Nothobranchius furzeri: one gene and its partner. Each later gene encodes a partner of the first gene's protein in a complex. Links are inferred from orthologs where the notes say so. Each region holds a gene or a part of one and is shown on either strand. Other genes may lie near its edges.

What was found. Proteins that work in one complex are often made in the same cells at the same time.
Region 2: the proteins of mmut (region 1) and mmaa are in contact, whole or in part, in a crystal structure (PDB 8GJU), measured with the Homo sapiens proteins. The link is inferred for Nothobranchius furzeri from reciprocal best matches to the Homo sapiens genes MMUT and MMAA. Residues at the interface, in NP_000246.2 of Homo sapiens: Lys496, Glu609, Arg610, Glu611, Gly612, Arg613, Arg614, Arg616, Ala635, Thr636, Ala639, Asp640, Gly642, Phe643, Asp644, Val645, Asp646, Ile647, Gly648, Pro649, Leu650, Phe651, Gln652, Glu656, Gln659, Gln660, Val662, Asp663, Ala664, Asp665; in NP_001362573.1 of Homo sapiens: Arg98, Ala99, Ala102, Glu103, Thr106, Glu109, Ser110, Thr111, His112, Ser182, Ser186, Gly187, Gly188, Ser189, Leu190, Leu191, Lys194, Thr195, Met197, Thr198, Ser201, Arg202, Met204, Tyr207, Ile208, Arg209, Pro210, Ser211, Pro212, Arg214.

What each region holds. Positions count from the first base shown.
Region 1 is NC_091742.1:21,795,332-21,798,983, reverse strand, and holds part of mmut (methylmalonyl-CoA mutase, mitochondrial), read left to right. Parts: intron 1-1,144; coding exon 1,145-1,316; intron 1,317-1,447; coding exon 1,448-1,696; intron 1,697-1,793; coding exon 1,794-1,905; intron 1,906-3,652. UniProt on the Homo sapiens protein: Catalyzes the reversible isomerization of methylmalonyl-CoA (MMCoA) (generated from branched-chain amino acid metabolism and degradation of dietary odd chain fatty acids and cholesterol) to succinyl-CoA (3-carboxypropionyl-CoA), a key intermediate of the tricarboxylic acid cycle.
Region 2 is NC_091744.1:10,732,532-10,736,183, forward strand, and holds part of mmaa (methylmalonic aciduria type A protein, mitochondrial), read right to left. Parts: intron 2,469-3,652; coding exon 2,298-2,468; intron 1,711-2,297; coding exon 1,625-1,710; intron 1-1,624. UniProt on the Homo sapiens protein: GTPase, binds and hydrolyzes GTP. Involved in intracellular vitamin B12 metabolism, mediates the transport of cobalamin (Cbl) into mitochondria for the final steps of adenosylcobalamin (AdoCbl) synthesis.

The DNA.
Region 1 (3,652 bases):
CACCTCAGTGACTCCTTTCCACAATCTGATTATTCATCCCCAGCTGCTGTAGAAAACAATCAATGAAATCAAAATAAACTTAATTTACTGCTTTTCCCCTTCCCGTTTTTCCTCTCTGCTGTCTTCCTTCAGTTACGTCCATTGGTGCACCTTTGGTTCTTCGTTCACTCGTGTTAACTGGATGTTTTCCCCCGTTTCGTTTATCCTTTAAAGCTGATTGACTCTCACTTACTTACATGCCTCTGGAGCTTCCTGTTGTGCCTAAAGTTGTTGAAAGATACTGTCCTTTATTTACAAGGAGCCTATGACTTTGCCTCCTCTCCGTGCTGTTAGAACCACCTTTGATTTATAATTAAACTTCCACGACTGATTTGAACTGTTCGTCTGTCGTGCTGGAATGAGTTTAAAAGCATCGACTGGTGCACAAGTCTGAATTTATTGTACATTTTCTCTCTTCCTGACAAGATAAAAATATGTTATTTACCCTAATCTACTGTCCAGATCCATTCTAACTGGAAACATTTCAGGATGTTAAGAGAGAAAAGATCAAAGGAGGACTGTATTTATGCCATTTCTACAAATTCAGATTCCAGAATCATTAGTTCAAACAATTCTGGAAAAGGTCCTAATCCGTTACCCTCAGATGAAATGAAATTAGTTTGGATGTTCAAGCACCACCAAGGCTAAAGTCTACTTTAATCCAAAAACTGAATCTTGTCATCGTGGACCGAGGGTCTTTTGTACGTTTGTTCCAAATCAAATTCCATTGTTTGGTTCTTTTCTGAACACACAGAATTGATTTGTTTTTACCTTTTTTAGCTGATACGTTCTGGCTAACACTGTAGCCGTTGGTGGCGTCACTCCTTCTCTGGCAGGCAGCGGAGGACGATGTCGCCCTCCGCTGCTCATGTGGACAAATCAAAAGCCTTTTGTAGAACGGCTTTATGGTCCCTTGAGAGGAACGTTGAGCTATTTAGCCACTTTAACACAAAGAATGTTCGAAGGAGTCCAAGTGAGGATTTCAAACTTTATGTTAAACTTCGTTCAAGCTCCTTTCACAAAGCGAACTACCTTCAATTTGTCATTTTTCAACGTATTCATTACTTTATTGATTGATTATTGTGTTCTAACATTGTTTTATCAGGTTGTCCTTCTTCTGGGGTATAGGGATGAATTTCTACATGGAAATAGCCAAGCTGAGGGCAGCCAGGAGGTTATGGGCCACTCTGATTAAAGAAAACTTCCAGCCCAAGAACACCAAGTCCCTCCTGCTGCGCACCCACTGCCAGACGTCAGGCTGGTCTCTCACAGAGCAAGTAAACACAAACCTTCACTGTTTTCAATTTGCAGTGTTGATCGATTATTTTAAATATCTTGATTCCAAAACCATTTCTGAACAAAATGTAAAGTTGTAGCCTACTCTGATTGATGGTCACTCATTCTGCAGGATCCGTACAACAATGTGATTCGTACCGTAATCGAAGCCATGGCTGCTGTGTTTGGCGGCACCCAGTCGCTACACACCAACTCTTTTGATGAAGCTCTGGGATTACCAACGGTGAAGAGTGCCCGCATCGCTAGAAACACCCAGATCATTGTCCAAGAAGAGTCAGGCATCCCTAAGGTGGCCGATCCCTGGGGGGGCTCACACATGATGGAAGCTCTGACTGATGACGTCTACAATACTGCTCTGAAGGTTCGTCAAACCAGAGAAGCTTACTGAACATCGTTTTGGACTTTATGCAAGTTTGAGATTAAAAGACTCCAGTAACTCGGCGTGCTGCGTTTTATAGTTCATTAAAGACATCGAAGAGATGGGAGGCATGGCCAAAGCTGTGGCAGAGGGCATTCCAAAACTTCGGATTGAGGAATGTGCGGCACGAAGACAGGCTCGCATTGACTCAGGTACTGCAGACTGAAACGCTAACATGAGTTTGGGTTTCCTGTCTCGTTTCTTATCCTCGTCGCGTTGCTTTAATCTTTAATACAACGTTATGTTTTCATTTGTTCCTTTACGAGGTAAAACCTGACAAAAGTGGAAATGGCCTAAAGCGAAACAGGGATCGGCTTTTTATTTAGCTTTTAAGAGGCATTTTGACTGGATGGCAAAAGAGATGGTTTCAAAGATGCTTGTTCCCGAATTGGCCGGTTCGAGAGTCGGCTAGAAACGGAATCAATCTGGAAGTAATTCTTGCTTTATTGAACTCATTGTTTATAAACGTTGGCAAATCAGAATTTGACATGTTTTGAGGGTTTTACCAAGCATTCCTCCAAAGACACTCCTTCTTCAGATACAAAGGTGTTTAACACGTAACAAGTATCTTATTGTAATGTGTATGAGTGTAGATATTGATTAACTAGTTAAATCAAACACACACTGATCTGGTGTAGATGAGATCTGAAATGGATCATTGTAAGGGCAATATTCATCTTGAATTCATTGATTTAAGCACAGATTATTCAAACATTTGATTTAAACATCTTGTTCATTCAACACTAAGCTTATGGGTTGTAAAGTCATGTAGGAGCTTCAAGTAGGTTTGATTTTTATTCATGGTGAGGAATCGGCAGTCTGGCTTTTACAGAGATTGCAGGACCTTTGCGGGAGACCTTGAGTGAGAATGTTTATCACTCCTTGCAGCCGCAAGGACCGTGGCAAAGGTCTGTTTGGATTTGGGTGTCCAGACAGATGGTGTTTTTCTGTCCGCAAATGAAAGGTCATTATGTGGTCCATATGTAGGTGAAAGTTGACCACCTGGTACATTACTCCATCCGTCCATCCGTCCGTCCGTCCGTCCATCCATCCATCCATCCATCCATTCATCCATCCATCCATCCTTCCTTCTGTTCTTCCATCCATCCATCCATCCATCAACCCAACCAACCATCCATCCATCCATCCATCCATTCATCCATCCTTCCTTCTGTTCTTCCATCCATCCATCCATCCATCCATCCATCCTTCCTTCCTTCTGTTCTTCCACCCATCCATCCACCCATCCATCCATTCATTCGTACATTTATCCATCTTTCCTTTTCATCCATTTGTACATTTATCAAGCATTCCATCCATCCATTCATTTGTGCATTTATCCTTTATCCAACCATCCATACATTTGTCCATTCGTCCAACTATCCATCCATCCATCCATCTATCCATCCATGATGAGTGAATATTGTTTTGTAGATTTTTTTTTCTTTCTTTCTTGGTCCCTTATATTCTAAATCAAAGAAACAGGTCTATTTATCACTTTTCAACCTCCTTATATTTATGTTTATGGTTATTTATTTAGCAGACGCTTTTATCCAAAGCGACGGACAATTTTTAACCTATAGGGCATGTTGTGATCTGTGGGGGAAACCGGAGTACCCGGAGGAAACCCACGCATGCATGAGGAGAACATTCAACTCCACGCGGAAAGGCTGCAGCCGAGTTTTGAACCTGCAACCTTCTTGCTGCGACGGAACAGTGCTAACCACTGTTAGTGAGTGAGTAGCGGAGGATTTCAGCCCCACATCCCAAAAACAGAAAATGGATGGATGGATGTTGCATTTTTATAAAAAAATACTTTTTACATTTAGCTGGAAAATATTAAAATCTATTGAAGTAAAAATACTGTAATTTAAAATAACTACTACTAGTCACGTTTTC
Region 2 (3,652 bases), on another chromosome or scaffold:
GTTTCCTGATACTTCAACATCTTGCCTCTGATTGGCTAACAGCAAGATGACTGTACCACTGATTCTGCTTTGCAACGGTGATGTTTTATCTCCACAAATAACTTAAGCCTGGAGGAGTTCTGCCATGCGGTGGAGTTGCTAATGCTAACAGTTAGCTTCTGCTAGCGGAAACGTGCTTGGCTCTCTCCTGGGAGCAAAATCATCAACTGCCTTTCCCATCACAAGCTAAAATGGGTGAGTCCATGAATGCTAATTTTCAGCGTTACGTAGATCAGACTGGCTTTTCTAATCAGAGTTTCCCCGTTTTCTCCGGCTAACGCAGGAAGTAGGGGTAAAAGACTATTTTCACATTTAGACTACATGTGAAACTCAAAAGTGACTGGTTGTAAGTAAAAAAACGGTTTCTTTGTGAACTTGGTCTTTAAAGTGTTGAATATGACAATTCTTCAGTTGCAATTTCCGCTGCACAAAAGAGGTCAAACCCATTACGGAACAAAAGTGACCAAATTAACATTTAATAAGATTCATTAGCGACAGAAAACTGAATGCAGAGAAAGAATCGTTCAACTGCACTTGAACTAAAGTTGCTTTAAAGGCAGGGATTTGGATCCATTGTGAGTTTAGAGGGAATCAGTTTCAGCGAGAGACATCAGAGCATGACAAAAGCTCTGCTGAGAGAGTAGGAGGGTCTAAAAATACACAAACATCAGTTTGGCTAAAATAACCTGATTAATACACTCTCCTAGTGGTAAAGCACGGTGGCAGGAGTGTAATGATTAGTAGAATAAGTACCTTATTTAAAGGCATCAACTAAAATGTCTGGTTGGCCTCACCAATAAACAAACAGAACAAACAGCCACCTAACAGAGTCTTGAATCCCTGGTTAAATAATTAGTATTAGAACTGATGACGTATTTATACCAGAATAAAGTGAAAGCTATAATCGGGTAAATGATGCAGTTTGATTTGATGCCAAAAGACAGAAAGAGGAAAGCAGCACTGTCACACATAGAAAATTTTCTGAAAAAATAAAAACTTTAAATGCATCCATCGCAGGTCAAATTTATGTCTGTTTGAATTCATAATAATAAATGTAAAGAAAATCTGATGTGAAACCAAGATTTAATGACATTGTTTCACATTTCCTCTGTGCTAAATAAACTCACAGCTTTGCTTCTGAAGTAAAAAACACAACGGTTGTTATTAAAACAGATGCCAGCTCACCTCAGTGTCTCGCTGTAATCACAATAATATGAATCATAATGAGCTGTGCTCATTAAGTCATTAATTAAGCTAATTAACTAATTAGCATACCGTTTTTTGCCAGCATTTTCATTTTTATAAATAACAACTTAAAAAAAGACTCATGAGCGTAATTTGACATTAATACCATGGCGTTAGGTTATGACTAAAGCAGTTTTAAAGTTACATTTTTGCTTTCTTGTTTACTTAAAATTTGTCAAAAAATGATCATATTCAAATCAGGGCTAAGTTTTGTATTTTTATTTACTTTTTTAAAATATTTGTAACCAAATGTATGTAGGTGAAATTAATTTACTTTTGTAGTTGCATGACGGCAAACATGTATTAACTTTTAATTTATCTGCTGTTGCGTTTCACTGACCTGGAGTTCGTCGCCACCTGCTGGTGGAATCAAAAGCACAAACATGTCAACCATGTCTGCCACAGCGAATTCAGACTGACCAACACCTGAAAAGTGATGAAAATACTTTAAACTCATCATATTGGATCACCCAAGTATCACGAAACGTTCTGAAAAATCTGATTATCGTGTATCAACTCCTCCTCCCCAGTCTTCATCTAAGCACACATTATAAGGCCCAGGGGATCTGAATACTGCGTCTTTTACACATGAAACTTCTACAAAAACACACAAATATCTAATAAGCGGGTAGAAGACAAGTGTTTCGGACTGTTTGAAAACTCAAACTCCTCTGAATAATCATGAACTTCGACAAACTTGAGATTCATCACAGTGAATAAATTTTACCCTGAAACACAGATTTAACGCACTCGTCAAAGCGTGTCAGCGTCACTGAAAATCCAGAAGTGTGTGCTGACACTTTCAACAAATACTTAGTGTGACTGTCACTTTTTCAGAGCACCATCACAATGAAAAAACTTTGAGCGCTGGAACTGGAGTCCGACTTTCTATTCAACTTGCATAAATGAGTAGCTAAAATGAAATGTAAAGATTTTTTTTATCACAGTTGAACAGATAAAATGACAAGTTTGGAATAATATTGTGGCTGGGGTTGGACCTTGCTAAATCTTACCAACAGTTTCCACTAGAATGATGTCATATCCAGCCCCCTCACACAGAACGATGGCCTCGTTGGTTGTTCGAGTGACACCGCCGAGCGTTCCTGAGGTTGGCGACGGCCTGATGAAAGCATTCATGTCTCTTGAAAGCTCAGTCATACGAGTCTTATCACCCAGCAGCGACCCTGCCGAAAGAGGCCGAAATGAGTTTATAATCTGTGATAAAGAAGTGAGGCTTGTGTTTGAAATAAACCTTAAACTGAATGTAAGGTGGTGACTGCTGTGAAAAAGTACTTGCCCCCTTAGTTTGGGCTTTTTGTCACACTTTTATAATCAATAAATACATTTCAATATCAAAGATAACCTGAATAAAAACAACAAAAAAGCAGTTTTCAGGGTTTAAAGTTAAAGTCCCATTAATTCATCACACACTGGTGAAATTCATCTCTGCATTTGACCCGTCCCCGTGGGGAGCGGTGAGCTGCAGCTGTGGTGCACGGCAGCTCTGGCCGCGCTCGGGAACTATTTGGTGGTTTATCCCCCCTCTTAAAGCGGAGCGTCAAGCGGGGAGGCATTGGGTCCCATTGTTAAAGTCTTTGGTATAACCGGACTGGGACTTGAACGCCAATCTCTCAGTCAGAGAGGACACTCTACCACTAGGCCAGGTAAAGCTATCCGAACCAACATGGTCTTGTGTTAAAAAGCTCCTTAAGTCATAAATGAAATAAATAATTCACATTAGACCCGGTTACTGCCAATAAAATCTGACAACATGACATTAGCAAAAAGGTTTCAAAAAGCAATTCACTTGGTTTATGGCTAGGGTAAGAATTCATCAATAGCAAAGAGAGGGGGTACAAAGGTCCTCTCACAGGGGTTGAGAACATCTCGACTATCCCTCAAGACTTCCGGAAAAAAGCCATCGTGAGAAAATTTTACTATTTGGAAAGTTTTTTTGTCCCATTGCCTTTTGCGTGAAGCTAACTTTGCACTAGAGATAGACCAAGATGGGTTTTTCTATCGTCAATTCTGATGTCATTAAGTTCTTAGAGAAGAAGCTAAGAGCTAAGAGGCCTACACACCTTTAGCCTGATTTCTACATCTCTGTCAGCTTTCCAAGGGAGAGACGCACACGCATTGACAGATTTTATGCTCTCGGACTTGTCCGTCACAACAGAGCTCGTAGCGCTTTTCTGTGGTATCATGCCACCATTACACTCATGTATCCGCTCCATGATATGTGTTTATGTATTTCAGACTTTAAACACAAACAAATGAGTCCTTCATTCTCCTCCACCTCCAAACCCACGTTTCCTGTCATTTCCACCAACAAATAAAACATTTGCTTTGTATTTTGTCGTGGGTGGAT